Callithrix jacchus: one gene and its partners. The protein of the gene in region 2 interacts with the protein of the main gene of each other region in a pairwise test. Links are inferred from orthologs where the notes say so. Each region holds a gene or a part of one and is shown on either strand. Other genes may lie near its edges.

Evidence for each region.
Region 1: the proteins of BYSL (region 2) and LZTS2 interact in binary tests that used the Homo sapiens proteins (3 or more experiments, as listed by UniProt). The two-hybrid records come from large-scale screens. The link is inferred for Callithrix jacchus from reciprocal best matches to the Homo sapiens genes BYSL and LZTS2.
Region 3: the proteins of BYSL (region 2) and MID1 interact in binary tests that used the Homo sapiens proteins (3 or more experiments, as listed by UniProt). The two-hybrid records come from large-scale screens. The link is inferred for Callithrix jacchus from reciprocal best matches to the Homo sapiens genes BYSL and MID1.
Region 4: the proteins of BYSL (region 2) and PNMA2 interact in binary tests that used the Homo sapiens proteins (3 or more experiments, as listed by UniProt). The two-hybrid records come from large-scale screens. The link is inferred for Callithrix jacchus from reciprocal best matches to the Homo sapiens genes BYSL and PNMA2.
Region 5: the proteins of BYSL (region 2) and MIPOL1 interact in binary tests that used the Homo sapiens proteins (3 or more experiments, as listed by UniProt). The two-hybrid records come from large-scale screens. The link is inferred for Callithrix jacchus from reciprocal best matches to the Homo sapiens genes BYSL and MIPOL1.
Region 6: the proteins of BYSL (region 2) and TRIM54 interact in binary tests that used the Homo sapiens proteins (3 or more experiments, as listed by UniProt). The two-hybrid records come from large-scale screens. The link is inferred for Callithrix jacchus from reciprocal best matches to the Homo sapiens genes BYSL and TRIM54.
Region 7: the proteins of BYSL (region 2) and CEP70 interact in binary tests that used the Homo sapiens proteins (3 or more experiments, as listed by UniProt). The link is inferred for Callithrix jacchus from reciprocal best matches to the Homo sapiens genes BYSL and CEP70.

What each region holds. Positions count from the first base shown.
Region 1 is NC_133513.1:93,956,263-93,960,683, forward strand, and holds part of LZTS2 (leucine zipper putative tumor suppressor 2), read left to right. Parts: intron 1-341; exon of another isoform or gene 342-468; intron 469-2,985; 5' UTR 2,986-3,027; coding exon 3,028-3,435; intron 3,436-3,992; coding exon 3,993-4,421. UniProt on the Homo sapiens protein: Negative regulator of katanin-mediated microtubule severing and release from the centrosome. Required for central spindle formation and the completion of cytokinesis.
Region 2 is NC_133505.1:50,428,024-50,432,444, forward strand, and holds part of BYSL (bystin), read left to right. Parts: intron 1-1,859; coding exon 1,860-2,022; intron 2,023-4,421. UniProt on the Homo sapiens protein: Required for processing of 20S pre-rRNA precursor and biogenesis of 40S ribosomal subunits. May be required for trophinin-dependent regulation of cell adhesion during implantation of human embryos.
Region 3 is NC_133524.1:10,650,500-10,654,920, reverse strand, and holds part of MID1 (E3 ubiquitin-protein ligase Midline-1), read left to right. Parts: intron 1-435; coding exon 436-784; 3' UTR 785-4,421. UniProt on the Homo sapiens protein: Has E3 ubiquitin ligase activity towards IGBP1, promoting its monoubiquitination, which results in deprotection of the catalytic subunit of protein phosphatase PP2A, and its subsequent degradation by polyubiquitination.
Region 4 is NC_133514.1:15,061,209-15,066,099, forward strand, and holds the start of PNMA2 (paraneoplastic antigen Ma2), read left to right. Parts: upstream 1-1,498; 5' UTR 1,499-1,907; intron 1,908-2,364; exon of another isoform or gene 2,365-2,464; intron 2,465-4,891. Other genes in the region: DPYSL2 (dihydropyrimidinase-related protein 2), read right to left, coding at 679-1,032.
Region 5 is NC_133509.1:71,917,964-71,922,384, forward strand, and holds part of MIPOL1 (mirror-image polydactyly gene 1 protein), read left to right. Parts: intron 1-1,389; exon of another isoform or gene 1,390-1,462; intron 1,463-3,076; coding exon 3,077-3,308; intron 3,309-4,421.
Region 6 is NC_133515.1:87,713,821-87,717,596, reverse strand, and holds the end of TRIM54 (tripartite motif-containing protein 54), read left to right. Parts: intron 1-652; coding exon 653-748; intron 749-1,289; coding exon 1,290-1,523; intron 1,524-1,784; coding exon 1,785-1,807; intron 1,808-1,919; coding exon 1,920-2,044; intron 2,045-2,163; coding exon 2,164-2,255; 3' UTR 2,256-2,256; intron 2,257-2,543; 3' UTR 2,544-2,677; downstream 2,678-3,776. Other genes in the region: UCN (urocortin), read right to left, coding at 3,188-3,547. UniProt on the Homo sapiens protein: May bind and stabilize microtubules during myotubes formation.
Region 7 is NC_133518.1:45,829,106-45,833,526, forward strand, and holds part of CEP70 (centrosomal protein of 70 kDa), read left to right. Parts: intron 1-2,377; coding exon 2,378-2,524; intron 2,525-2,697; coding exon 2,698-2,866; intron 2,867-3,045; coding exon 3,046-3,160; intron 3,161-4,421.

The DNA of each region.
Region 1 (4,421 bases), on a different chromosome or scaffold from region 2:
GAGAAGCCGAGGGGGAGGGGCGGCCGCCGCCGCCTCGCCGGGGCTCTTTGTGCTGTAACAATGACCAGCTGCCGCCGGCCCCCGGGCCCGGGCTGGGGCGGAGGGTGACCGCCGCCGCCGAGCCGAGCCAAGTCCCCGGACACGCAGTCACAGGGCGTCGGAAGGAGGGCTCCCGACTGCCGCCGAGCAGCCCCTACGTGCGCCCCGGCGGACTCGCGTGACGCGGGTGCCGGAGCGTGTCCGCGGCCCGGGGCGGGGACGGCCCTCGGACCCTCCCTTGCGCAGCGCCGCCCACTCGCACTGGGCGGGGGCTGGCCTGGGCCGGGGGGCGCCGCGGAGGCGGAGGCGGGGCCGGCCCGGGCCGCTCGGAGTGGCGGCGCGCGGGCCGGGATCGGGGCCGGAGCCGGGCGGCGCGCCTGTGGAGCGCTGGGGGCGGCCTGGGGCTGAGCATGGAGCAGCGCGGCGGAGGTGAGGGGGGGCCGGGGCTGGGAGGCGGCCTGGGGCGCCCCCAACTTCTGCGCGGTGGAGTCCAGCGGGGAGAGGGCATTGCCCAGCCGCCCCCACTTTCTTGAAGCGGGTCTGGCCCCTGGAGAATGGGTTGGGGGCTCCCCGCTTCCCGCCGCGGAGCGGGAACTCGTGATCGCAGACTTGACCCCGCTTGACTGGTTCTTGGAGTTTGGGTGGGAGGGAGACTTTGCCCAACTCTTCAGACCCCTCGCCGGCCCTGGACGAGCTCCAGCCCTCCGCTCCCCACAGCCCGCTAAAAGGGGGATGCTCCTGGGTCAGAGTGATTGCTTAGGGAGTGCTGAGGAGAATGAGGGGTTCCCATCTCCCACAGCCACAAACGCATTTCTCAAAATGGAGCCGCCACTTGCCCCTCCTTCTCTCTCGGGCTCCAAGAGCGGGAGCCGGGCCGGCTGGGCCTGGCTTTCCAGACTCCTGGCTCTGGCTCCCTGGGTGTGTGGCTCTCAGGGCCCAGCTCTGTGGCACTTTGGACTTAGGGGCCCTCGGCTCCATGGGGTTGGGGGGCCCTGGCTCACTGGGTCTGCCTGGCTTTCTCCTTGTCAGCCTGACCCTCGGGCCTCTCCGAGTCTTTGTCTCTTTTGGGTTCCTGTCTTTCTCTGAGTCTGTCTCCTTCCTTCAGTTTTCACTTTCTCCCTGCTCGATGAAGTGGGGAAATACAGCAGAGGTGCCAGCCCCCTGGGCCCCCTAAGTCCCTTCCCCACTGTTCTTTCCATACCCTGGAGTGGACCCAGAGACGGGAGGGGAGGGGAAGGGGTTCTCTATCTGCTCTGCTCGGGGCTGAGACCGGTGGGGTGGTCTGAGCTGCAGCCCTGCATAGAGGCCTGTGATTGCTCCCTGGGCCTGGCTCACCCCTCCCCCAGCTCCCCACAGCTCTGGCCCCAGCCTGAACACCTCTTCCTGGTTCGCAGTGTCTTTTGACTTGGGTGGGAAGGAGGGCAGTGGATTTAATGGAGCGCATACGAGAAAGAAGGGGAACAGATCAGGCAAAGGAGTTAATGTCCCACCTCTCCCCACATGCCAGAGGGGGAAGGAAAGAGGCTCCCTTCACCAGCTGGTCCTCAAGCCACCCAGGCTCCCACCACTCTGGTACCTACCTGCCCACATTTACAGGCTCACCTGCACACCCTGGTGCACTCACCTTTCTAGTCACACACTCAAACACTTAGGAGCTCACACATAAACTCATATGCTGACGCATCTGTCCAGGCACCGTCTCATCCACACACCACAAATTCACATTTATAACTTTCACAGGCTTTCTAAGAATGACCCCTTACCCATGTACTTTTGTAAGATATACACATGTGAATTCACACGGGAACTCGTGTGTGAATGTGCTGATAACATCAAACATGCATAGACTCACATTCATATTTTCACACACATTTTCGTATATACACATGGTGTTCATTTCCATGCTCCTGTGCATGTAGTCACACAACAAATAACTAAATGCACACACTCCTACTCCCAGTGCAATTCTCTGTCCACTTCTTGGCCCCGCTCTGCATGATGACTTCAGCAGATGCCTAAGTCCTGGTCATCAGTGGCCTCAGGACTGGGAGTAGGGAGGGGGTTCCGGGTGGAGGCTCACATCTGCTTCCTGGAAGGAGCAGGGCCTGGGGAGGTGGAGCCCTCTTGCCTGGGCTCCCTGGAAGTGAGGCTTTGGAGCAGCCGACAAAGGTGAAGGCGGGGCATCTACCTTCCTCCCCTCAGGGTTTCTCTGGGGACCTTCTAAAGCCGTAGGGTTTCACAGAGGTTGGTAGTGGGGCAGAGCCTGTGGAGGCTCCTTTAGGCCTGATTGGATGTGCAGAGGCTAGGAGTTGTCATGGAAACTGGTATGAGCCTGCATCCACCTCTGGGAGGCAGGAGACCCTGAAGGACACCTGTGGACTCCCTAAGAGCCATGGGTTTCTTATTTAGCCAGATCCACAGAGAGGCAGTTTAGCCGCCTCTCTGGGAGAAACTGAGGCCCAGCAGGGGGAGGCAGGGCACTGCCTGGCCTTGGCTCTTTATTCCCTAATTACCATCTCAGGTGCTGATTGCAACCTTGAGGTGCCTCTGCCCAGACTACCCTGTAATGAGGCCACCTGGCTCAGAGGGCCAGAGACCTGTGCTGGGAGCTGCTAGAGAGGGCCCCTCCCTCACCTGAGTCCTGGCCTCTGGGGAGGATGCAGGATTGGGCTTGGGCCTGGGTCTTTGCTGCCAAGTGGCCTTGTGGTCATTACCTCAGCATCTCTGCTGAGTGAACTCAATCCTTAGCCCTGTTTAGACCTACATTGGGCACTGTGGTCTGGGGCCCAGGGGGAATTGAGGTTCATGCCAGCACTTGAAGGGGGAGTCTCGGTGGGGATCAGGGCTTGTTACTGATGTCAAGGAGGCATCAGTTACTTGGGCTTGTTACTGGGTCAGGAGGGGTCTCAAGGTAGAGGGACTCTGACACCACTGCCCTGCTTACAGGTCACCTGCGAGGCCGCTGGCCAGGCCTGAGCCTCTGCCACCATGGCCATCGTGCAGACTCTGCCAGTGCCACTGGAACCTGCTCCTGAAGCTGCCACTGCCCCACAAGCACCAGCCATGGGCAGTGTGAGCAGCCTAATCTCAGGCCGGCCCTGCCCTGGGGGACCAGCTCCTCCCCGCCACCATGGCCCTCCTGGGCCCACCTTCTTCCGCCAGCAGGATGGCCTGCTTCGGGGTGGCTATGAGGCACAGGAGCCGCTATGCCCAGCTGTGCCCCCCAGGAAGGCTGTCCCTGTCACCAGCTTCACCTATGTCAACGAGGACTTCCGGACAGAGTCACCCCCCAGCCCAAGCAGTGATGTGGAGGATCCCCGGGAGCAGCGGGCACGCAATGCCCACCTCCGTGGCCCACCACCAAAGCTCATCCCTGTCTCTGGAAAGCTGGAAAAGGTGAGGACTGGCTTTTCCTTGTGTGCCTGGGTAACATCGGGAGCTCCCCTTGGGAAACTGGAATTTAGAAGCCTATATCGAGGAAAGAGTGTGGGCTCCAGAGTCACCAGACTGGGTCCTAGTCCCAGCTGTCTCTCATTCTGGCTGTGTGACCTCAGGGAAGTCACTTAACCTGAGCCTCAGTTTCTATAACTGAAATGAAGGTCAAATAACGTATAGTATAGTGCCTGGCATGTAGCATGTGTGCAGTACGTGCTAGTTGCTTACATTCTGGTTATTCTGCACCAGCTATACATTTGACTTTGGGCAAGGCCTTTCACCTTGCTGAACCTCCATTTCCTCATCTGTGATATGGGGATAGTGATAATATTTAGATAATGGGGATGAACCTTTCAATTGCTTGACACAAAGCTGACACTCAGGAGGCTTTCCGCCCATGGCTGCAATTGTTATGACTATATGGCATTAGGGACCCTAGATGGGAGGGCAGGGAGTGTCATAAGGGCTCTGCAAGATTGGGCAGCTTATCCCCAGTGTCACATGGCACCTCATTTCAGAACATGGAGAAGATCCTGATCCGCCCAACAGCCTTCAAGCCAGTGCTGCCCAGACCTCGAGGGGCTCCGTCCCTGCCTAGCTTCATGGGTCCTCGGGCCACCGGGCTGTCTGGGAGCCAGGGCAGCCTGACGCAGCTGTTTGGGGGCCCTGCCTCCTCCTCCTCTTCTTCCTCTTCCTCTTCTGCTGCTGACAAACCCCTGGCATTAAGTGGCTGGGCCAGTGGCTGCCCATCAGGGACACTGTCTGACTCTGGCCGAAACTCACTGTCCAGCCTGCCCACCTACAGCACTGGAGGTGCCGAGCCAGCCACCAGCTCCCCAGGCGGGCACCTGCCTTCCCATGGCTCCGGGCGAGGGGCACTGCCTGGGCCAGCCCGAGGGGCCCCTACTGGGCCCTCCCACTCAGACAGTGGCCGATCTTCCTCCAGC
Region 2 (4,421 bases):
AAGAACAAAGTTTTTTAGTTTCTCTTGTTCATGGATATAGCCAGCACCCCTAACACTGCCTCACATATAGTAAGTGCTGGGTGTTTGCTCAATGACTGGGTTAATGAATGATGTTGAGGTAGGTAGAAGCCAAGCCTAAAGAAGATTCAGAAACCATCCTAACATCAATAGGAAGAATGGGAAGCTGTTGGAGAATTTTAAGTACAGGCCTGATCAAATCAAATACCTGCTTCTGGAAGATTGCTGTCTGCAGAGTGAAAAATGAGTTGGAGGGAAGCAAGGTCAGAAACATGGATACCAGTGGGCAACTGTTGAATACATTCAGGCAAGAGATGATGCTCATCTAGGTGTAGATGGTGCTGTGAAGCATGTGAGAGACAGTCTATGAGGAAAAATTGAATAGGGTTTAGTAATTGATTGGGTGTTGAGGGTGAGGGCAGGGGATGAGGCAGGAACGCCTCCCAAGCTTAGTACTGGGTGGACAATGGTGCCATTTGCTGAGCTGTGGATGGTTAGCAGTGTAGACCTAGGAGGGAAAGAAGGTAAGTTTAGTTGATGACAGGTGAGATTTGAGGTGCCTGTGAGTCATCCAAGAGCGGATGTACCGGAAACACCTGGAGTTAGGATCTGGCGCTAAGGAGAACCACCTACAAAGTCCAAATTTGGGGGATTGTTGGCATGTGGAGACAAAATGTCAGTTCCCCCTTATTTAGCTTTTATCACACACTGCCTTTGTTAATGACTTATTGATATGTAGCATTATAGCCCCCACTTGGATTATTAGGCCCCTTTCCAGATGCCCACACATGTAGCCTTCCAAAAAAGCAAGTTATTTAAATGGACTAACTTCATTTATTGAAATGGACTGGTGGATTGAAATCTGAACTCTACTGTCTGACTTTAAAGGCCCTCCAGTCTGGCTTGACCTTGTCCCCCTAGCATTATTTCCTGCTATTGCCTACAAGACACTTACAGCCAAGCCTTATTTTCACTGGGTCTGGGACACACTCCTCCTGCTCCCAAACTCTACATCCAGCGCCTAACTGTCCTCACCACTCATCCTCTAAGTGCATGTTGTCTCTAGCACTCATTGTGGCATATAATCAAGCCCTAATGTGTGTAAAATGGTAGTGAAGAATGCAGTCTAGACCCAGACTACCTGTCAGGCAGATTACCCAACTTTTCGGTGCTTCAATGTTCCCATCTAAAACTGGGTATAATAATAGTAACTACTTCTGCTGGGCGCGGTGGCTCACGCCTATAATCCCAGCACTTTGGGAGGCTGAGGCGGGTGAATCACGAGGTCAAGAGATCGCGACCATCCTGGTCAACAAGGTGAAATCCCGTCTCTACTAAAAATACAAAAATTAGCTGGGCATAGTGGTGTGCGCCTATAGTCCCAGCTACTCGGGAGGCTGAGGCAGGAGAATTGCTTGAACCCAGGAGGTGGAGGTTGCGGTGAGCCGAGATCGCGCCATTGCACTCCAGTCTGGGTAACAAAAGCGAAACTCCATCTCAAAAAAAAAAAAAAATAGTATCTACTTCTTGGGTTTATAAGGGTTAAACAATTAACATGGGTACTCTGTTCAGAAGTTCCTTCTACATAACTGAGTATGGTATGTTCACTATTATTTATGACATTGCTTTCTCATTGTTTCCTGTGCATACATTTTGTTTCTCAAGCATGATTGCAAGCTCCTGGGGACAGGGAGCTACTGCATGCCTCATTTGTTTCACTGCACATACCCGCATCTATCACAACCACATGTGAGGCCTGTACTACATAATGGCTGAAGTTAAACTGACTAATGTTTCAGCCATCCTTGGCTGGGCTCATCCATTTAGTCTCCCTCTTCTAGGTCCAAGAGTGCCTCAGGATGGATCAGATGAAGAGGACGAGGAGTGGCCCACGCTGGAGAAGGCTGCCACTATGACAGGGGTGGGCTACCATGCAGAGGTGGTGGTGGACCCTGAGGATGAGCGTGCCATAGAGATGTTCATGAACAAGAACCCTCCTGCCAGGTAGGCCTGGCAATTTGGGATAGTGGGTCCTTGAAGAAAGTTCCCACAGGAAAACAAGTTCCCCGGCAGACTTATAATTCCCTACTTTTGGAAAGGGCCCTGGAGTTGCTGGTTGTAGGGGACCACCTTGACAAAGCTGGCCTGTCCTGAAAGGACCACTGTGAGTGGGAATGACCCAGCCTCAAAATGCCTTGTGTCCTTCCGTCCATTATTGTACTACTGCCCAATTGTCAGGGAAACAGCTACAGGCCCCTTTTATACCTCTGGGGAGAGCCATCCTGTTGCATTTGGTTTTGGTATTCTTGATTTTTTTAGTGGAAGCTCAACTTCTTGGATAAATCTTCATACCCTGAGCTTCATTTAAGCCAGGGGTTTTCAACCTCAGCATACTGACATTTTGGGCTGGGTAATTTTGCGTGTGTATATGGAGGCTATTCTGTGCAGTGTTTTGCAGATATCTCTCATCTCTACCTTCTAGACTCCAGTAGCAACCTTCCCTCTAATTGTGATAACCAAAAATGACACCAGACATTGCCAAATCTCCCCTGGGGGGCAAGATCGCCCCCAGTTAGAACCAGTAATTTATTCCCATCTATAGTAAATGCTAGCTCCAAACATGCAAGCATTTAGACTGCCTGTGGTCAGATTACTGAGCCCATAAATTTTGGCCCTGGGGAGTGGAGTCTAGGATAAGGCCCTTAAACAGTTCATTCTGACCCTGTGATATTACCATGATGTTGTCCCTGATACTTTAGGCTATTTTGGCTTAATGTGTCTCTCATTGCTAATCGTGCTGTAAGACAGGAGGCTGGTAAATTCTGTGGCAGCTTATTTGAAAATACAGAATGAGGCCAGGCGCGGTGGGTCAAGCCTGTAATCCCAGCACTTTGGGAGGCCAAGGCGGGTGGATCACGAGGTCAAGAGATCAAGACCATCCTGGTCAACATGGTGAAACCCCGTCTCTACTAAAAATACAAAAAATTAGCTGGGCCTGCTGGCACATGCCTGTAGTCCCAGCTACTCAGGAGGCTGAGGCAGGAGAATTGCTTGAACCCAAGAGGCGGAGGTAGCGGTGAGCTGAGATCGCGCCATTGCACTCCAGCCTGGGTAACAAGAGCGAAACTGTCTAAAAAGAAAATAAAGAATGAAGAAAATGAGCCCATCTCCCAGATTGATGGTTGACAGTTGAAATAGATGTCACAAAATACGTACCTGGGCTTGTCCCACCAGAGAGCCTCTCAGGTTCTCACTCAGCACTTCATAACTCCTACTTCACTGGTAACTCTGACAAACTTGGCAGAATGCTTCTCCAATTTGCAGTAAATAGAATAGACAAGCTCCCTGAAGTAAACAGAACTCCAGGCAGTCGCAGGAAATGATAGCTAGCATCTTCAGAAAGCAAACCTAGATCCATGTGGATTCAACAGTCAAGAGGCCATTTAGTTTAAAGGCATATTATAAGGTCCTATAAAGTACCTTAAGAACTTCAAAAACCTGAGTTTGACTGTTACTCCCCACCTGACAGCTATGAGGCCTTGGGTGAGTTACTAACCTGAGGCCCAGTTCCCATGTCTGCATAAGTTTCCGTGTCCCATAAGTGTTGCACTGACTTTAGGACTGAAAAGTCCCAAACTCAGTGCCTGGCACTGAGTAGGACCTCAGAAAAGAGGAGCAGTTTGTTTTTTTGTTTTGTTTTGTGACAGTCTCACTCTGTCAGCCACCCAGGCTGGAGGTCAGTGGTGTGATCTCTGCTCGCTGCAACCTCAACTTCTCAAGATTACTGGCATGCACCACCACGCCCGGCTAATTTTTGTATTTTTAATAGAGACAGGATTTCACCATGTTAACCAGGCTGGTCTTGAACTCCTGACCTCCCTCAGCCTCCCATTTTTGGGATTACAGGTGTGAGTCACTGCACCCAACTCAGGAGCAGCTTTAAGTACATTTCAGGCTGGGCATGGTGGCCCACACCTGTAATCTCAGCACTTTGGGAAGCCAAGGCAGGAGCCCAGGAGTGTGAGACCAGCCTGGGCAACATGAAAAGACCCCATCTCTACAAAAGAATAAAAAATTAGCTGGGTGTTGTGCTATGTGCCTGTGGTCCCAGCTAGTGGGGAGACTGAGATCGGAAGATCGCTTGAGCCAGAGAGATGGAGGCTGCAGGGAGCCGTGATGGTGCCACTGCACGCCAGCCTGGGCAACAGAGCTAGACCCTGTCTCAAAAAAATAAATAAATAAATACACTTCAACAGCCTCTGAAGTGTATTATAAAGTGGGTACCATTATTATTCCTGTTTAACGAATGAGGAAAACAGAGGCATAGAAAGGTAAAGTAACATGCCCAAGATCATACAGGGAGTAGGCAAGCCAGGATTTGAACCTGGGCAGACCAACTTCAG
Region 3 (4,421 bases), on a different chromosome or scaffold from region 2:
CAGTTCCTCAGTCTCACCAGCTGCAGCTCAAGTGCCCAGTAGCCACATGTGGCTTGTGGTTACCATATTGAGCAGAGCAGAACATTTCAATAATTGCAGAAAGTTCTTTTGGTCAGCACTGGTCTAGCAAATTCATTGTGTAGGTTTTTATGAGTGAAAAAAAGCAGCAAAACACAAAGTTCAAAGTCTTTATAGTGTCTGAGCTGAAAACAGAAATGTGGGTAAATACGATGCTTCTTTCTACCCACTACATGTTTGGGAAAGAAGGAGATGAGGAACACAGATGTTGGGGTTCTTGCCAAGCTTTCACTTAAAGAAAATGAAGAGGAACAACAAATGATTATCTTTTCATAACCCCTGAGGACCATAGAACAGATTTAACGTGCATGTGCAACATGGCTTATTGTTTTTGTTGTTGCTGTTTTGTTTCTGCAGGTATGCCATTGGCCTTGCTTACAAATCAGCCCCAAAGCACGAATGGATTGGGAAGAACTCTGCTTCCTGGGCGCTCTGCCGCTGCAACAATAACTGGGTGGTGAGACACAATAGCAAGGAAATCCCCATTGAGCCTGCCCCCCACCTCCGGCGCGTGGGCATCCTGCTGGACTATGATAATGGCTCTATTGCCTTCTATGATGCTTTGAACTCCATCCATCTCTACACCTTCGACGTCGCATTTGCGCAGCCCGTGTGCCCCACCTTCACCGTGTGGAACAAGTGTCTGACGATTATCACTGGGCTTCCTATCCCAGACCATTTGGACTGCACAGAGCAGCTGCCATGAGTGTCTGGCCACATGGAGCTGCTTTCCGGGGAACAATAAGGTTCAGGCCACTATTTAGGGGACTGAGAAAGCACAGGCTTCATGAGAGTGATGAAATCTCACCAAAAGTGTCCAGAAATCGGCTAAGATAGGGCTCAAAACAGGAGATTCCTCTCCTTTTACTGTGTCTTGTATTAAGTATGGGCTTTAATAATTTCTTTAATTTTTTTGTATTTAGAGGAAAATCTATAGATTATTTATAAGAGAAACATAATCGGGATTACAACTTTTAGGAATTATTTGGTTTTGCACATTAAAAGGCCCATAAGTTTACCAGCTATTTACAACCTTTATTTCATCACAATCTATGGGCTTGCAAAAAAAGAAAAAAAACACTTTTGTAATTTTGTATGTTTATTTACCTTCGAACCTAATATCTCATAATGATCCCATGTAGGTCTTGTTACCTAGACAGTGCATATCAGGATGTGTTTGAAACTAGTAGGGGAGTAAACAGGCTTTCTTGCTGTGGTTTAATTTGAAGTGTTTTCATCGTGATGTCAAAAACTTGTATTGCATCAACTAAAATGGAGAACAAGAGAGAGAATGAAAAGAATTGATTTTGGACCTCGGACTTTGCCGTGGCTAAATCTTTACCCTCTGATGGCTGATGGGATGATGTTGAAAAGAAAGTTTCTGAATCCTTTGGCCACATTTTGCCCTGCTTCTCTCAGGGTTAAGAGTTCTGGAAGAACATTAAGAATGAGATTGCAATTGAAAATAGTTATTTTGAATCCTATTGATTATTCAAAAATTCAGGCTGATTTGTCTTTTATCATAGGTAGGATTCTGTTTTATGATATAAAATCTACTTCATCCTTCCTTTTAACAGTTCCTTTAGACCTGTGAAATTTCTTCACTACGTTTAATAGTTGTCCTATTTCCCCCTCCCCCATATCAATTTTCCTTTTGTCTCTGGGGCTGAGTAAATAAACATGTTCTGTCACAAATAGCAGCACCACTTTGGATTGAGTTTGCTCTCCAGGACATCAGCACATGGCCCTGATCACTGCTACCATATCCAAATGTAAGTCACTGAAAAACACTTAATATTTATGAGTTGCTAATAACAAGGGACATTGCATAAAGTACTATTTACTAGATACATGCCTCAAAAGTTATTATAAACAGACCTTTATTAAACACATCTTGAAAGATGTAGAAGTCCCTCTGTAGTCTAGTATAGTTTACAATAGAGTTGTAAGACCAAAAAAAAAAAAAAAAAAGAAACTTGTTATTCAGGAACTTGCTTATAAAATGTCAGCTGGGATTCTTTGCATGCCAATCTGATGCGTTGGAATGGTCCATGAATTAAGGCTTTCTTGAGTAGTTCTTGGACCAGAACTCTGGCATCAGTTCTACTTTGCTGAAGGGTGTGACCTCTGTAAATGGTTTCAATTGCTAAAATATTTACCTGGTATACTGGGTCAGCCATTTTGATGGAACAGACTAGTGGATTTAGACATTGTTTTAGTGATTTTGTTTTTAACCAAATCAACCAACTGCCTCCCTGAAATAAGTCAATGAATCCATTGTTTCAGCATCACGTAGCCAAAGCTCATGTGATTGCAAATCTCGACTTCAAGGGAGGCCACCCAGCTTCCTGGGTCCTTCCATCCTCTTCCCTAGCAGACACTCTCCTTTTTCTTAACAGATAGATTCTATATATTTACTATATTATTTATACCCAGATGAATATTTTGATAGATACCTAAGACAATTTCACATCTAAAAGATGGACACCTCAATGGAAAAAAATTAATCTTTCTCTGGAAACCTTATGGGTTTTTCTTTTTATTACAATATAAAAGCAATGTGTGTTTGCCTTCTCTGAATAAACTGAAAGGGTTGTCTCAGTAATTTTTACATACATTTTGAGTAACTGGATAATGGATATTTTAATGCACTTTGTACAGTAACAGGTTCTAAATAAAAGGGTCTAAAACTCAGCTTCTGAGTTTTTAAAATCATGGTCTCCAGGTACCAATAAATGCTACAGTTTGCCTTATGATGTTAACATAAAACACTTACTAGAAGGACAATATTTCCTTGAAAATAATGTTTTTCAATATTAAGAAGTCACTACTCCAATTTTCACAGTAAGCCATTTAGGGTATGTTTTGGCTATTTTTATAAGGACATGAGAGATTATGTCATAATTTTGTTGTGGAAGTCTCACTCTTGGCTAACTTAAAAGCATTGTGGATAGTAGCAGTTACTATTTCCAGGTTGTCATATTTACAGGAAAATATGTATATGGTGAAAGGCCACCATGTTAAATTACTATAATGATGTAGAAAAGAGTCCCATGTGAATTTTTTTGAAAGTCTAAAAAATGTATGCTGTAAAAATTTGCTGTAGTGTAATTTTTGCATTGTCTTTAAATGGATTGAGATCACAGTATTTTATTTTTTGAGGCCCTCACCACAGGAAACACTGCGATACAGTGGCAAAAAAGATGGCAGTGCCAATTAAATTAATACAATAAAATCAATGCAGCACCAACCAAGACTGCCAGGTCTGGTATCATGGGTATGCCCAGAGCCCAGGAGTTCAGAAGGGCCCTAAGCTTGATTTAATGCTCTGCTGTTGCTGTCTTGAAATTCTTAATAATTTTTGAACAAGGGGCCTGCATTTTCACTTTGCACTGGGCCTTGCAAGTTATGTAGCGAGTGCTTATAATAGAACTCAGAAACCTGGTACCTCTCTTCCTGGTGGATACAAATAAAGAAATGTGGATCCAAAGTTGAAAGTTGCTGGTGATATCATTCAAGTAGGACTCTAAATAGTGGATTAAGATGAGGGTGGGCCTGGGTGAAGATTCTTTCCAGCTTTAAAAGAAAGTGACTTCAAAAACTGACTGCAAATATTGACAATGATTTCTGCTGGAGAAGAAGAAACTGCCTGAATGCAGACAGGCTTTTTTATTACGGTACTGATATATTGTCCTTCAACTTGCTGAGGAACTGAACTAACGTCCTCCAGTGGCCGTGGAATTCCATCTCAGCTCCAGAAACATGCAGATACCTGCAAAGAGACACACATATGCTGACATACATGTGCGTTTGGTGTTGGGAAGTTGACTATCTGGTCTACCTTAATAAAATGGCGAAAAGCACACAAAAACAATGATGGGGGCCAGAGGATGTGTTTGAAAGCAGTGCTTCTCAACCAGGGCTCGATTTTGCCCCCCAGGAGACATTTGGCAATGCCTGGAGTCACTTTTGGTTGTCACAGCCAGGAAAAGGAAGCTACCAGCATCTAGTGCGTAGAGGTCATGGACACTGTTAAACATCTACAGTGCAAGCGCAGCCCCCACCACAAAGAGTCACCTTGCTCAAATATCAACAGTGCTGCAGTGTAGAAACTTGACCGTTGGTTTTTTTAAATGCAAAACTCTGATAAATACCTTTGACTTTTCCTGTCATCGAGTATATGCTTGATACACCCAAAAAGAAAAGCGGGGGGCACCAATTCACCTTCACTGCAGTGGCTCCTTCACCTTTAAAAATATTTATAAAATAGTTACAAAAATATGTTAACTGAAAAGCAGTCCAAGCCTATGTAAGTGGGAATCACTGATAAGCATCATCATCTG
Region 4 (4,891 bases), on a different chromosome or scaffold from region 2:
GGAGCGCTGTGGGAAGCCCTGGCTGAGACACTTATTGGAACTTTGTTCCCCACATAGGCTATTTAGGAGCGTCTCGGTTTCCGCGGGCGACTCCAGGGCCTCCCTGGCTCTTCTCTGGCTGCCAGCAGGAGTCAAGGGCGGTCCGGGGGGCGCTGACCATGGTCCTGGCCTCGGAGCTCGGGACTCGAGCTCAGGAGGCGACGGCTGAGGCTGCAGAGAGCCGCCGTCGGAACCCTCGCCCCTCCCGACCACCCAGGAGCCGCGGGCCTTCACGCAAAGCCTCCCCCCCACGCTCCGAGCCGCCTCAAAAAAGGGTGGGGCACCCAGCCGCAGCTGCAATAGGAAGCCGCCCGGGAGGGTTTCAGAAGAATGGAACCGCAGCCAACCCTTCCCAGGCGACCACCGCCCGCCCCAGCCCGGGATCGGCCCATCCCCTCTGCCCACCCCCCACCTCCCAAGCTCAAGGAGACGCGGGCAGCCTTTGTGGGCGCACAGCCGCCCACCGCCCAGCCCGAGCCTCGCCGCGCCCTGCGCGGAGAAGGGGCGGAGGGTGCGCGTGCAGATGCGGGAGGCGAGGTCCAGGGCGGGGCATGAAGGCGGGCGCGCCGGGCTCAGGGGCGAGGGAGGGGCAATCCCCGCGCCCCGTCCTGCGTCTCCACCCCCCACCCCCACACCGACCTGGTCGTAGATGTTCTGCAGGGCTTCCTTGCCCGAGGCCCTCCGGATCTCCACCTTCCGGCCCGATTCAACAGATGGCTCCCCGCCGGCGCGCCGGCCCTGCCGCGAGTACGGCGGCTGTGGGTCCGGGCCCAAGTGGGCGACGTCCCGCTGCTGAGCTACCACCTGCCCCGAGCCCCGGCCCACCGACAGCGAGTCGAAGTCGATGGTCTTGTTCTCCGAGGACCCTTCCACCGGGCAGAACATGCCACAGAATTTCTGCCGGGGCTTGGGGCTGCCTGAGCCCAGGTTTTTAAAAAAGGCAGGGACCTCTTCGTCCTCTGCCGCCTTCCCAGACTGCTTTTTCTCGGCCATGGCTCGGGGGCTCGGAGAGGGTCCTCGCCGTCCGTCCGTCCGTCTGCCAGTCCCTAAGTCTCCCTCGCGGTGTGCACAAGCCCCCTAGCTGCTGCAGCGGCTGCCGCTCGCTGCCCACCGCAAGGTGCACAGAAAGGAAGGAGGGCTGGCGAGCCGGCGACCCACCCTCCCGGTCCCTCCCCCTGACCCCGCTTCTCCCCTCCCTGCCCACGCCCCCCGCGGCCACCGCGCGAGCTCGGGCGAGCGGCAAAGTTGGATCTGGGAGGGCGGCCGCTGCGGCTGCGGGAACGGAGAGGCTGCCAGTTCCCGGCAGCGCGGGGAGGAGGGAGGCGCGGGCGGGGCGCAGGCGGGGCGCGGCGCCAGGGAGGGGAGCGGCGCGCAGGGGAGGGCAGGAGGGGAGGGAAGGAGAGAGAGAGAGGGGAGGGCGGCACCGCCCCTAGCCCAGAGCTCCGGAAGTGAAGCGGCCAGACCACCGGCTAATGGATGCGGAGCGGAGGGCTAGCTGACTGCTCTCCGCGCCTGGGTAAGTATCGGGCAGGGCACGCGGGGTGAGGACCGGAGGGCGCAGCCCCCGGCCCCTGTGCCCCTCTCCCCCACCTGCCCGGCCCAGGCACCTCTACCTGTAGTGAGGCTGTGGTCGGCCGGGGTCGAGGGCGCACTGTGGCTACGGCTCCCTCCCCGTTACCCTGGGTGTGAGCTGATGGATGGGAAAAGGGGACCAGCCGGGCGCCAGCCTACTCCAGGTGTGGGAAGGGGGGTGGCACTGAAGATGAACAAGGGGTGACACAGGACGGGGGCAGCCGAGACGCTGGACACCCAAGCTTCAGTTTGCCCACTCGCCTTGGCAGGCTGCAGGGAGCAGAGAGACTAAAACCGTAAGATTCCCGCTTCGTGCATCCACTTTGGTGTGGTTGAGGTGGCGGGTGGTGGTTGGGGGGGGCACAACATGGCGGGAAGAAATGCAGAGTGGCGTAGCAGATGGGAGACGAGTATAGAGAGAGACGCAGGTCTGAGGTCTATAAGGGTGTAGCAAAGAGTGCGGTGCGGAATTCCAGCCCAGTGCCACGTCTTAGAAAGGCGGTGCAGACCCGCTCTATTGCCCAAGGGCGCCATGGACCCTTTCTGCACCACTGCGCCAAAAAGGACGCAGGAACGTGTCGCGATTTGGTTTCTTCTGCTTCCCCCCCAAAAAATAATAATAAAAAGGGGGGGGAGAAACAAATTGAAACCCCCTCCCCAAATCTCCAGCTGTTCCCGGCGCCCCAGCGCCCCGCCTGGCTCCCCCGCCCCTGTTGCGCACTGCGCCACAGACGCGGCGTTTCCCAGGTTACCAGATGCCACGTGTTTGGGAGTGAGCGCGGATGCGCATCTGGTGAAGAGTAGGAGGTAGGTTGTGAGTACCGTGAATTGTGTGGAGCCAAGCGGAGGAAAGGTACGTAGGAACTTGGTGTGCGTGTGCAGGTAGTGGAGCTACTGCCACCGAGGTGGTAAGGGGGGGGGGGCAATTGGATTTGCTGCGTAACGCGGTCAGTGCGGGTTCTTCATTGCTTAGTCCCATCTCCACGTCCTTTCTGCGTATCAGACCTTGCCTCTGCCGGATGACAGCCCCTCCTCTCTTTCCACAGTGGCAAGATCCTGCGGAAATGGTGCCCCTCCTTTGGCGGCCCGGGAGGGAGGTCTGGGCATGCTCAGTAACCTGGGTGGGTTTGGGCTGAGAGGCCGTTTCCCGCAAGGCCACTGCGTAGGGCCTTGTGACCAGGAATCCTGTCCCATTGTCAGCCCAGGAGTAAATGCGGTTACCAACCACTCCCACCGTTCAATTGTAGGGATAGTTTGGTGAATAGAGTTACATCTAGTGGACCACCAGTTGCAGTTTGAAGATCAGCCCACCATGATGGTAGAAAGTCGTCTCCAGATGAGAAAGGGAGACTGAGGAAGAAGAATATAGGAGTGGAGGGGCTGAGAGAACCCGACGGGCCAGATGTGCTTTGCATTTGAATAAAGCATTTGAAAAAAAAAAAAGCGATTCCAACTGAATTACATCATTTCCCACTCACAGCCCCCTGTAAGATTCATGCTTATCAGCACTGCTTTCCAGGTTGGGAAACAGATTTAGAGAGCTTGGTCCAAGGTTGGGTATCTACTTAAATGATTCAACAATTCCAGTGGGGTCTTCCACTTCAAAGTCTGGCTTCTTTTCCAGCTTGTCCTGTGACCCCCTTTATGTGAGAAAATACAAGGTTCTTCTTTTTTTTTTTTTTTTTTTTGAGACGGAGTTTCGCTCTTGTTACCTAGGCTGGAGTGCAATGGCGCGATCTCGGCTCACCGCAACCTCCGCCTCCTGGGTTCAGGCAATTTTCCTGCCTCAGCCTCCTGAGTAGCTGGGATTACAGGCACGCGCTACCATGCCCAGCTGATTTTTTGTATTTTTAGTAGAGACGGGGTTTCACCATGTTGACCAGGATGGTCTCAATCTCTGGACCTCGTGATCCACCCGCCTCTGCCTCCCAAAGTGGGATTACAGGCTTGAGCCACCGCGCCCGGCCCAAGGTTCTTCTATTTCTACCATATTTCCATCTGTGGCCCTATTGTATATCAAGGGTATTTCTTGCCATGTTTTTATTAGAAAGTCACACTACAGATCACATTAGGAGGAAGAGGCATGGGAAGATAGCCTAACTTCAGCGTAGAGGTCATTCTGTAGACCATAGAGATGCTTCTTTCTGGGCAGTGTCTTTTTACATTCTGTTTCCTCTAAATATCCCGGTGGGGGATATTTAGTGTTGTGTTCACAGATGTGAGCCACTGCACCTGGCCCTCCCCCCACCGGCCCCCATATTTTGTTGTGTTTTTGTTTTTGTTTTAGTTTTCAGGCAGAGTCTTCCACTGTGACCCAGGCTGGAATGCAGTGGTGCAAACGCAGCTTACTGTAGCCTTGACCTGCTGGACTCAAGCAATCATCCCTCCTCAGCCTCCCAAGTACTTGGGACTACACACGAGTACCACAAGCTCAGCTAATTTTTTTATATTTTTTTCTTTTTGTAGAGGCAGGGTCCTACTATGTTGTCCAGGCTGGTCTCAAACTCCTAGGCTCAAGTGATCCTCCCACCTTGGTCTTCCAAAGTGCTGTGTTCACAGATGTGAACCACTGCACCTGGCCTTCCCCTCACCGGCCCCCGTATTTTAGAAAGGAAAAGTCAGGCATAGAGAAGTCAGAAGTCTCAGGTCCCTGGGGCTCCTGGGCACAGAGGTGAAGTAGCATTTTGCCCTCCTGGCTCTCTGGCACCCTAGTGTCTTCAGCACCTGCCTAAAGATTCTAGAGATGTACGCACAGCGGGAGCAGCTGCTGATAGAGGTACAGGACAGCATTGAGGCATATGGCCCCCATTCGAATTGATGAAGATGTTTAGGCAAAAAGGGAAATGACTGCAGCCCCCTAACACACACTATGCAGTGGTAACTGGGAGGTATTAGGAACTCTAACTTTTTTCTTTTTTGAGGCAGAAATCTCACTCTGTCACTCAGACTAGAGTGCGGTGGTACAATCTCAGCTCATTGCAACTTCCACCTTCCAGGTTCAAGCAATTCTCCTGCCTCCCAAGTAGCTGGGATTACAGGCATGTGCCACCACACCGGGCTAATTTTTGTATTTTTACTAGAAACGAGGTTTTGCCATGTTGGTCAGGCTGGTCTTGAATTCCTGACCTCAGGTGATCCACCCGCCTTGGCCTCCCAAAGTGCTGGGATTACAAGCGTGAGTCCCCATGCCCAGCCAACTCTAACTTTTTTACATTCTCTAATCTCCACAGGCTATCCAGAACAAACTCCTTGATAAGTGAGCTTCCTCCTTTTTTTTTCT
Region 5 (4,421 bases), on a different chromosome or scaffold from region 2:
CCATAGCCCAAGCATAGTCTTTATTATATTGTATTCAGATCATTAGATGAGTTTGCCATCCTCACTGTACTAGAGAGTCTTTGAGTGGAGTGTTTGTTTCTTATTCATCTTTGTTTTCCCAGTACCTACCACAAGGCATATCACACTGTAAGTTTTCCATGAATGATAAGTAAATGAATGAATAAATAAATTAATACAAGTATTTGAATACTAATATAGTGTAATGCAGGATGGCAGAGAGGAAGAGTATTGAGAGCCTTCAGAGGATTTAACATTGATTTGCTGGAATCATATTTGCCAAAATAGTTGGTCAGAAAAGAAAAAGACAGGAAAATTTTTATAAATCAGCTATGTTTATTCTAAAGTAAAATTAAATTCTCAGACTGGGAGTCTGAGGTGGGAGGATTGCTTAAGCCCAGAAATTTGATGCCAGCCTGGGCAACATTGCAAGATCCTGACTCTAAAAAATATTTTTTTTAATCTTTTTAAAATAAATTTTCAGTAGAAGGGTATGGATAGTCTGATTTGCAGAGCAAGCTCCAAATTTCTGATGAGCCTTTTCAATTAGAAATCTAAAAGTTTTTACTACTGAACGAAATGAGAAATATCCAGAAATAGAGTCAAGTCACACAGTATGGATTCTTAAAAAATATTAAACATTTAAAATTAAATTTTAGAATGAAAGTCTAGAGTGTGTCAGAAATTGATGCATTGTAATAAAACTTCAAGGACTTATATTTACTAAGACCCAGGAAGGATCAACAGAGTCCTCTTATTGGGAAGCTCTTATTGGGAAGCTTCCATATTTGCTCTAAGTTTGAAGAAGATAGTATGGTCACAAGTAAAATAGTGGTGATTTATCAAGAGTTCAGGAGATCACAAATTTGACATTAGGTTATAGCTGAAGGAAGAGAACTATAAAACTAGTAAACAAATAGCGAATTTAAATAGCAGAGATAAGATCAACACCAGGAGGTTAGGAATAAAAAACTGAAAGTAAAAAATATACTGAATTAATTTTAGATAATGGTAAATTTGGTCTTGAACAGGTTGAAAAGCACTGGACAAGAGTCTGAAGCAGTTGTGCGGCTGTCATGGGGACCTGGGGGCTTTTATAGTTGACAGTGATCCATGGACCATTCTTTTCCCTTTTGAAGAAACATGGTACTTCATAAACTGAAGAAGAGTGGGGGGCCTAATAGTTTTTAAGAAATATGTCCCTAGGGGCAATTTTGTTATTTGATAATGCTTTCAGTGATTATTTCTGATTGTTTTTCATTTGAGTTATTTACAATGTTATATGTTATGTGTTATATGTGTTAGAAAGCATAGTCTATTAATGATATAGAGGCTTTCCTTAATGCCCATTTATAAACTTTTCTCATTCAGATTTTGAGAGTTCCATTATGCTAATGCAGCCTATTACAGACAAGTTGCATGGTGACTATCTAATGCAAACAAAGTAAGAATTTCAAGATGTCAAATATGAACAAGTGATCTTCAGATGTATCTGTTCCTAAAACTGTCAAATTTAAGTTAATATAATGTTGAAGGTTCACAGCTCTCTTATACTGTATAATTATGATAGGACATTCTCTCTTCTAATTCATTTCTTCAGAGTGAAATAGAGAGTAATTTACCAAAAACAGATGTACTCATCTAGCTTCTAGCTAGCAATAAGAATAATGTCCAAGATCTAGAGTTCATAACTGGCTATACCTAATTTCAGCAAATATACAAGCAAATAATTTTTTCTTAAAAAGTGAATATTTTTATGAGAGGTATTTTATTTATAAGTGCCCCCTTTTGTTTAAATTCTAAAACAACTCTCAGCCTGAGCAAAATAGCAAGACCCCATCTTTACAGAACATAAAAATCAGCCAGGCAAGGTGGCATACTCCTCTAGTTCCAGGCATTCGGAAGACAAAGGCAAGAAGATTGCTTGAGCTCAGGAGGTTGAGGCTACAGTGAGCCATAATCATACCACCACATTCCAGCCTGGCCAACAGAGCAAGACCCCATCTTAAAAAAAAATAGGGTAAAATAAAATAAAACTACTCGTATGTGCCTCCAACGATTGTAAGTTTAGCAGATTTAAAAAGGCACCACCAAAAATCAGGTGAGATTCATCTGCCTTTTAAAGTTCAAGAAATATTTCTGCCCTAAATAAGGAAGTACTAGTTACAATCAGTACTGGGGCCTGTTGAATTGATTTACTAGTGAATGAGTTTGCTTTGTGTTCGTATTTGTGTGTCATTTTCTCCCCAAAACTTTACTTTGTCATTACATGTACATTGTCCCTTTGAAATAGCCATTATTTACTAGCAGTAGCTTAAGATAATTTTTGTGAGATAGGCATTGCAAAGTATCTTCTCTGATGTATAATACATCCTAGAGATGAAGGTTAGAAATCATTCTCCCTTGTATTGTGTCTATTTTAATATTATGACGATGATTACAAAAATAATAACTAACATGTATTGATGTGTCAGGCACTAGGCCAAGTATTTTGAGTATGTTAACTCAGTCCTTAACAACAAATATTATATACCCATTTTACAGAAAAGAAACTGAGAGTAACTTGCCCAAAGTGATTCACTTGGCAAAGCTGGAATTCTAACCCAGGCAGTCTAATACCAGAGTTCCACATATATTAACTCTTCACTATAATAATTATTTTATACTATTTTCAGAAATCTAGAAAAGTTCACCTAGAAAATAATATCCCCAAATCAGTGATTCTCAGCCTTGAGCGTATGCTGGAATCATTTGGGGATCTTCAGAAATTTAAACTAGGTCTCACTCCCAGAGATTTTTTAAGCTCTGAGGATTTAAAAGAAATCTCCTTAGGTTATTCCAAAATGCAGAGTTATCTATTGACTGTGGAAATGGAAGTCTCAATGGTAAAAACCACACTGTATATGCTTATGTGATTACAGTAGAAATAAGACTAGAAATTATATCTTTAAAGCTATGAGAGTATTTCCAAAAATATTTATTTGATTGATTTAATATCAATAAATAGTTACAGTGTTTGATATATCATGTGTTATTTTGTTTGTTTGTTTAAATACAGATATAACCCACAGTTATCTTGAACAAGAAACTAAAAGGATAAATAAAAGTACACAGCCAGATGAGCAACTGACTGTGAGTTCTGAGGAAAATATGCATCAGAAATCCACTGAATTAGTTAATGAAATAAGTTATGAGAACACAAAATGGTCAGAGCAGAGATCAAGGAATTTTCAGATCATCAGTTCTTACCCAGATGATGAGTCTGTTTACTGTACTACTGAAAAATCCAAGTAAGTGCTCACAGCCTTAGATTTAGAAAGTAGGAATGGGGGCTGGGCGTGGTGGCTCTTGCCTGTAATGACAGCAGTTTGGGAGGCCAAGGCGGGCGGGTCACTTGAGGTCAGGAGTTTGAGACCAGCCTGGCCAACATGGTGAAACCCTGTCTCTACTGAAAATACAAGTATCAGCCAGGTGTGGTGGCACATGCCTGGAATCCCAGCTACTCAGGAGGCTGAGTCATGAGAATCACTTGAACCTAGGAGGCGGAGGTTGCAGTTAGCTGAGATTATGCCACTGCACTCCAGCCTGGGTGACAGAGCAAGATTGTCTCAAGAAAAAAAAAAAGAGAGAGAGAGAGTGGAAAGTAGAAGAACTTTTTCTTCCTTTCTCCTTTCTTCCCTTTTTTCTTCTTTCCTTCTTTCATTCTTTTTGGAGTTGACTAATTCTAAACTCATTAGAATTTGGGGGATCTACCAGGGTTTTCTACTGTTTCTGTGATATGGATATAATATGTCTAGTTAACTAAGTGAAAAAGCACAACGTGCATCTAACGAAAGGCAGTGAGATTTAATTCTATCTTGTTCAATATTATTTTCTGTGATGTTTTATTATATATTTGAAAATAACTGTTAAATTGATATACATGAAATATCATTCATGAAAGTAAAAAGCTGGCAGCTCTAGGATAAGGTAAGCCCAAACATGCATTTTGGTTTGGGTTAGCACTGTTTTTCGTTTAAATGAATTTGAATGCTGTTAAAAGGGCCTTGTGCTCTACCATTTGCCTTCCTTATTATTTTACATTCTCAGCTTTTACCCATTCATCTTGCCTACCTAGCTCATGAAAGGATTTGAATTTGTGATACCTTATACTTTTAAGTATGAGATTAAGGAACTTTGATAATTAGTCATGTACTATAAAAATATTATTAGATTTAAAAAGAAGTTTCAGTGACTAGTGTATTTTCAGTCTAGATAAAATAATACTTTACAGCATACAATTTTTAACAGAGTTTTGCATAGGAACTTTTATTTCTACTTTCAAATTATTCAGTAGATGTGTTAATGGATAGTAACATATAATAAAACCTTTTAACCCTTTATCAGATTCTTACTAGGATGTA
Region 6 (3,776 bases), on a different chromosome or scaffold from region 2:
AATCCCAGCTACTTGGGAGGCTGAGGCAGTAGAATCGCTTGAACCCAGGAGGCAGAGTTTGCAGTGAACCGAGATCACACCATTGCACTCCAGCCTGGGCAACAAGAGCAAACTCCGTCTCAAAAAAAAAAAAAAAAGAAACAGATGAATTAAATGACCGCTTTGTCTGAAAACAGAACTAGTGAACAGCATGAGGGGACTGAAAAAAAAAACAAAACAAAACAGAATGTGTATCTCTGGGAGAGGAGAGGGTTGAGCGTGAGAATCAGATTTCCAGAATGAGAAGATAAAGAGAACAGAGAAGAGGCAATATTATGCAAATGGATAATCATCAAGAATTTCTTGCATCAGAATTGATGCAAGAAACGAATCTTCAGATAAAGCATCTAGCCCTGTGCCTGGCATCTGGTGGATGGAGACTGTCTGTTCCTTCCCACTTAGTGGTGGAGGGCTTCTTCTCTCCACCTCCTTCTAGAATCCCTAGAATGTGCTTCTGTACCTCCTGATAGTTCAAGTCTTCTAGAGGGCTGTAGATGCCCTCATGGTGGGTGGGGTGAAGGGGACAGCCCTCTTCTAGGCAACCCTGGCTGGGGTGAGGGGTGTAGCTCTAGACCAGGTCCCAGTTCTAAGTGCTGACCTGTTTGTGTGTCAGAGTGAGCTCAGCGATGGCATTGCGATGCTGGTGGCAGGCAATGACCGGGTGCAAGCAGTGATCACACAGATGGAGGAAGTGTGCCAGACCATCGAGGTGAGCCTGGGCTAGAGGGAGGGGGGAACAGCAACTGGCGGGTCTGCGGACCCCGGGCTTCCTTCCAGAAGAATTGCTGTGGCCAAACTGGTCTGAAAGTTTCTGGGGTCCTGAAAGTGGTGGGATGGGCTTTAGCCAGGCTGCTGGGTATGCATTCCAGCTTTGCCTCGAAACTTTAATCCAGTTATTTAACTTCTCTGTGCTTTGGTTTTGTTTAACCTCATAAAACAGTGATGATGATAATGGTACACCAGCTACCTCATGGGTTCTTTTTAAGAATTAAATGGAATAACGCAAGTAAAAACCAGGGCTAGGGATATAGACAGCACTCATTGAAGCTACTTTAAAACATTGTGTTTTTATTATAGAAGAGATCTGGGCTGGATTCTGGCTCAGCCACTAGCAGTGGCACTGTGGACGGGTCACTTTCTGTCTTGGTTCTCTGAGCTCCATCAAGTGGGGAGCAGGCCCAGTACCCTGGGATTTCCCAGCCACCGGGTCTCAGCCACGCCTTCCCTGGTCCTTGCTCCCCATCTTTCAGGACAATAGCCGGAGGCAGAAGCAGTTGTTAAACCAGAAGTTCGAGAGCCTGTGTGCAGTGTTGGAGGAGCGCAAGGGCGAGCTGCTGCAGGCACTGGCCCGGGAGCAAGAGGAGAAGCTGCAGCGTGTTCGTGGCCTCATCCGTCAGTACGGAGATCACCTGGAGGCCTCCTCTAAGCTGGTGGAGTCTGCCATACAGTCCATGGAAGAGCCACAGATGGCGCTCTACCTCCAGGTGGGCTCTAGGGGAGGGTGGCAGTGCTGCAGAGTGGCTGGAGTCGGGGCCTTGGCACCTGGACATCCAGGTTCAAGTCTTGTCTCTTGGACCTGCCTTGCCCCTACCACCTTGGGCAATTCACCCCCTCTGAGTTCATTTTCTCCTTAATGAAATGGGATGTACCTTCCCACCTACCCTGCAGGACTGTGGTGAGAAAGAAATGGGACTTAGCCCAGGTTGGCCCAGTGCTTACTCTCACCCTCCTTTTCTCCCCTGCAGCAGGCCAAGGAGCTGATCAATAAGTGAGTAGGCACAGCGGGAAGGGAAAGGAGGGGGCTGCGCTGCTCCACTGGCTGGGGGAGGGGCTTGAGGGTGCTGGGGCATTGCCAGTTGAGCCCAGTGTGGTTGCTGCAGGGTCGGGGCTATGTCGAAGGTGGAACTGGCAGGGCGGCCAGAGCCAGGCTATGAGAGCATGGAGCCATTCACCGTGAGCGTAGAGCACGTGGCCGAAATGCTGCGGACCATCGACTTCCAGCCGGGTGAGGGAGATGGCCAAGGGCCACCGGGACTGGGGTTCCGACCCTCCATGTGGGGGCAAGGCGGGCAAAATGGCAGGAAAGGCAGGGACTCCACCTCACCAGGCCTTCCTTGGGCCCAGGCACTTCCGGAGAGGAAGAAGATGAGGAAGTGGCCCTGGACGGAGACGAGGGCACTGCGGGGCCGGAGGAAGGGCGGCCGGATGGGCCTTAAGGTGAGTGTCCTGAGGGACTTGAAATGGGGCCTGGCTGGTGCACTCATGTCCCCTCCCCCGGTTACTGTCCCCCAATCCTCGGTACCACCCTACCCCGGAGCCACAAAGGTGCATCCCCCAGGGCGGAAAAGCACACTTCCTCCACCCCCACCGTACCTCCGGGTTACTGGGAGGGCAAGCAGAGTTGGCTGAGTAGAGGAGAAACCCACGTGGCGGGCGACCGAGTGAGCTGGGCTCGAGCTGCCTCGCGCCTTCTCAGCACCTGCTCACTAAGCCTTCTTTCCCAGGCACAGGTCTGCGCCGACCCGACTCTGGTCAAGAGCCTGCGCTAGGGTCGGGGAGGATCTGCGCAGAGACCGCAGAGTAGCCCAGCTCGGCGCCCGCCCCGGGAGGATCTTAATAAAGAACTCGAGCTCCCAGACCCGTATCTCCTTTCGCTGCCCAATCCCTCAGCTTCGGCTTTGGAGGCGACCCGCCACCATTCTGCCCTTCCTGGAACCTGAGACCGTTTGGGCGGGTGGAAGCCAAATGAACCCTTTTTGGGCACCTCCGTGATGCCAGGAGAGAACTGGTGAGCCCAGCACCCTTGGAAGAGGGTTGAGGGCAAGGCGGTGGTGCCGGGACCTGAGGTCCTGGGGATTTGGGGAGCCCTGGGGTCCACAGGCACCTGGCTGACCTGGCTGAAAGCCGCTCTCCCGGAGCCCCCCTCCCCCGCGCATCCTGTTCCCTTCCAGCTGGCTAGGGGGCCCCACCTTCCCACAGGTTCCCACCCTGCTGTGACTGCCGCCCCCCCAACAACAGAAGCCAACAGCTCTTCAGCACTTTTATTAAAAAATAGCCACGCAGAGAATGCTCTGGTGGCTCTGCCCCGCGTCCCAACCCTGAGGTGGGGGAAAGGGGTCAAAGTTTTCGCGGCCCCAAACCAGGCCCATCACTTGCCCACCGAGTCGAATATGATGCGGTTCTGCTCGGCGCGCTCCCGCTGGCTTTGCGTCCGCGCCAGCTCCAGCAGGGTCCGCAGCAGGTGAAAGGTGAGGTCAATGGACAGAGGAGGGTTGTCACGCCGCAGCCGATCCCCTGTCATCCCGAGCCCCGCGCGGCGCGGGAAGCGCTCCGCTAGCAGCAAGAGGAGCGCGCGGGCTCCGCCGCCCTGCTTCCGCGCCTCGGGGCTCCAGCGCAGACTCGGGTCCTGGACCCCAGCCACCTCGGGGCTCTTCTGGCTGCTCCCAGGGCGCAGATGTACTAGGAGCAGCAGCGCAGCCAGCAGCGCCGCGCGTCCCGCCTGCCTCATGGTGCCGCCGGCCCTGGACACACAGGGGCAGCGCAGGGTGAGATGCGCCTGGGGCAGCCGCAGGGGGCCGCTCCCCACCCCGCACTGGCCAGGCAGGTGCTGGGGGCGGCTCCCCTCCCCGCGCTCGCCCGGTGACCCCCGGCGGTTCCGCCGGAACAATGCCCGCAGGCGGCCCTCCAGCCCCAGCGGCTGCGCCAGTGCTGTTCCACCCCTTCCATCCAGCCTCCCT
Region 7 (4,421 bases), on a different chromosome or scaffold from region 2:
TGACCCATGCAACATGGGTGAACATTATGATGACATTATGCTAAGTGAAATAAGTCAGTCACAAGAAGATTCCACTTACATAAGATACTTAGTGAAAATCATAAAGACAAAGTAGAGTGGTGATTACTAGCGGGAGGAGGAAATGGGAAGTTGCTGTTTAAAGGGTGTAAAGCTTCAGTGTTACAAGATGAAGAAGTTATGGAGATGGATGGTGGTGTTGGTTACACAACATTATGAACATTTTTAATAACACCGAACTTACATTTAAAACTGGTTAAGATGGTGAATTTTATGTCTATTTTACTAGTTTTGAAAATTGGAAGAAAAGAAAGCTGGGAAAGACATGGAGCCAGCTGCCTCCATCTTTCTGTCTTTTCCCTCCTGCCTTTCCAAGAAAGTGAACTACAGATGTTATAGCTTCCCCCAACCCAGTACACTCTTGAATACTTTGACTTTCCTATTCTCCAGTGCTTCAGAGGCCAGACATACATGGTAGGCCGGCCCATGGTAGTACTTCTACGTCTCCACAACTAGGCAATGTAAAGAACCTAGGAGACCCTCATATTTTTCAAAGCTTACTTGATGAACTGCTACAACCATCCTCTCACTGCTTAGGAGACCAGAACATCTTTTTCTTAGCTTTGTAATACTCTTTTATTCTGAAGCAAAAATGTATTAGATTGGGTGTGCTTTTTTCCATAAATTACTTTATAAATGTGCCTTGTAGCTGGAGCATTGATTAATAAAGGGGTCATTATGCTGTTGCTTACTGACTTTTTTTTCCTCCCAAATTCTAGTGGCACTGATTGTAAAACATTCATTTGACACAGAATGTATTGCTGTGAATTACTAAAATAGGTAACTGTCTTCCTACCAAACGAAAGGTTAAAGATACCAATATGTGAAGTGTGAGCCTTAAGTGGAGAGTGTCAAGTGAAGTACTAAAATAAGTTCGAAAAAGGAAGAATTTCTTGTACTTCTTTCTGTTCTCTAGAGCTGTGCTGTCTTGTATGGTAGCCTCTAGCTGTATGTGGTTATTGATCTCTTGAAAGGTGGCTAGTCCTAATTGAGATGCGTTAGAAGTATAAAATATACACTGGATTTAGAAGACTTCATATGGGAAAAATTGAAATATTGATTTTATATTGAAATGATAATATTTTGGATATATTGGGTTAAATAAAATATTACAGTTAATATCACATGTTTCTTTTCACTTTTCATACTATGGCCCTAGACAACTTAAAATTACTGTGGCTCACATTACATTTCTTTTGGATAGCATTGTTCTAAAGGACTAAGCACTGTTCCATACATATATGAATTGAGTATCCCTTATCTGCAGTGCTTGGGGCTAGATTAAGAATTTTTTCAGATTTTGGAGTATATGCCATTTGAGCATCCCTGATCCAAAAATCCAAAATTCAGAATGCTCTAATGAGCATTTCTTTTGAGTGTCATGTTGCTCAGAGTTTCAGATTTTAGAGCATTTCAGATTTTTGGATTAGGGTTCAGTAAGTATTTGTCGACTGACCAGTCTAGAATGCTAAACTTCCAGTAGCCTTGCCCATTGTGCACAGTTTAAAATCACTTAGGGCATCACAGCTAGGACAAGAAAACAGAGTATTGTAAAGTAGAATACATTTAGAGAACCTTTCACATTGAAAACCTGCCTGGAGGTACATGTTATAACATTATGCTAAGTGAGAGAAGCCATTCATAAAAGACTGCTTATTGTATAATTCCATTTATGCAAAATGGCCAGAATAGGCAAATCCATAGACACAGAAAATAGTTTAGAGGTTATCCCCTGGAGCTGTGGGAAAGGAAAAATGAGGAAGGAAGGACTGTGAGTGGGTCTGAGATTTCTTTTTGGGGTAATGGATATGTTCTGAAATTAGATAGTGCTGATGTTTGTACATGTGTGAAAATATTAAAACTGAATTGTATACTTAATGAGGGTGAATTTTATGGTATCTGAACTACATTTCAATAAATCTGTTATTCAAAACTAAAATACAAGGGCAAGTTTATTCTTTATGTATCAACAATTCAAAATAACAAAATAACATGAAACAATAATAAATAATATAAAATTACTTAGAGCACCCAAATGCAGAATAATCAATATGTAATGTTTTCTGTAAAGCCTATGTTTACCTGGAGAAACCTAATTTTAACTGACTTGTTCTAAATTGGTAATAGTGTTATTAAAAAATACCAATGATGGTTACATATATATATATATTTTAACCTGCCTATATAATGTTTTATTAATTTTATAAAATACATAAAACTTATAATTTTATTAATTGTGTTATATTACTATAGAAATTATTTAAATCAATAATACCATATAGTTTCTTTTGTTATAAAGGATTTGTATAAGTCCTTGAAAACACTATCTGCAGAACTGGTACCTTGGCATAATCTGAAGAAGCAGGATGCAAATGAAGGTATCAAAGTTGAAGATTTGTTATTTATAGTAGATACTATGTTGGAAGAAGTTGAAAATAAAGAAAAGGTAATAATACTTACATAAATGGTCACATTCTAATGTACTCTTATCTTAAAAATTGATAATTTGATGTGGATATTAATATTTGTTCTACAAGAGTTCTGTTTTTCTTTTAAAAGTTTTTATTTGGGATTATTTTAAGATATGAACTCTTTCTTTTTTACCTCTCTTTTGGACAGGACAGCAATATGCCAAACTTTCAAACTTTGCAAGCTATTGTCTCTCACTTCCAAAAATTATTTGATGTGCCTTCTTTAAATGGAGTCTATCCTCGAATGAATGAAGTTTATACTAGGCTTGGAGAAATGAACAATGCTGTGAGAAACCTCCAAGAACTCTTAGAATTAGGTGATGACCTAATTTGTCATTTTTGGCCCCCATTTAAGAATTGTTTTTAATAAATTAACAAAAAGTAGATAAAATTTTTCTTAAGTAAAAAAAATTGAGGATAACTGAAGCATAAAATGTTTGATGTATGTAATTTTGGAAATTTTCTGTTGAAATATCCTTTTATTTCTCTTTTGCAGATAGTTCATCTTCATTGTGTGTGTTGGTAAGCACTGTTGGAAAACTCTGTAGGCTGATTAATGAAGATGTGAATGAGCAGGTTATGCAGGTATTAGGACCTGAAGACCTCCAGAGGTACTCATTTCAAAAGTTTACAGAGTATCATCCAGAATGGCCAGGTGTGGTGGCACACACCTGTAGTCCCAGCTACTTGGGATGCTGATGTGGGAGGATCACTTGAGCCCAGGAGTTTAAGTCCAGTCTGGGCAACATAGTGACAGCCTGTCTCTAAACAATAAAAGAAAAAATAAGTATTGTCCAGAATTCATGGAGGGGTGAAATTAAAGACTTTCAAAACTCATTTACCTTCCCTATTTGGAATAGCATCTTTTCTCTGTGTGTGTTTGTGACTGTAGGCACACACCACCATGCCCAGCTAGTGTGTGTGTGTGTGTGTGAGTGTGTGAGTGTGTGTGTGCACGTGTGCAGGTAGAGAGACAGACAAGTTTTCACCATATTGCCCAGACCAGTCTCAAACTCCTGGGCTCAAGCGATCTGCCTGCCTTGGCCTCCCAAAGTGCTGAGATTACAGGTGTGAGCTACTGTGCCCAGCCTTGGAATAGCATCAATTTTTTTTTTTTTGAGACAGAGTTTCGCTCTTGTTGCCCAGGCTGGAGTGCAATGGCGCGATCTCGGCTCACCGCAACCTCTGCCTCCTGGGTTCAGGCAATTCTCCTGCCTCAGCATCCCGAGTAGCTGGGATTACAGGCACGCGCCACCATGCCCAGCTAATTTTTTGTATTTTTAGTAGAGACGGGGTTTCACCATGTTGACCAGGATGGTCTCGATCTCTTGACCTCGTGATCCACCCGCCTCAGCCTCCCAAAGTGCTGGGATTACAGGCTTGAGCCACCACACCCGGCCTGGAATAGCATCTTTTAAACAAGTTGACAACCTAAGATAATCTCACACCCTTTGGGACGAGAAAATGCCAAGTATTTAAAAAATAAAAATAGATTGTAGGGCTTATAAAGGTCAGGAACTCTTCAGCATAATCCTGTTCTCAGGAAATATTATATATGGAGAAGTTCAAACCTTGTCAGCAACTTTATGTAGTTCTGATCATATCAATAAGTCCTATTTTTAGGACCCTACTATAGACCACTGAATACTCATTAATAGTATATTTATTATTTGATTAGAAGATAAATGTTAAGGATGTTTTTAAAAGACTAGGCATGTCTAACATAAAACCTGGTTTGTTTATTTGTTTATTTTTTGAGACAGAGTCTCACCCAGGCTGGAGTGCAGTGGCACCGTCTCAGCTCACTGCAACCTCCACCTCCCAGGTTCAAGCAATTCTCATGCCTCAGCCTCCCGAGTAGCTGGGATTACA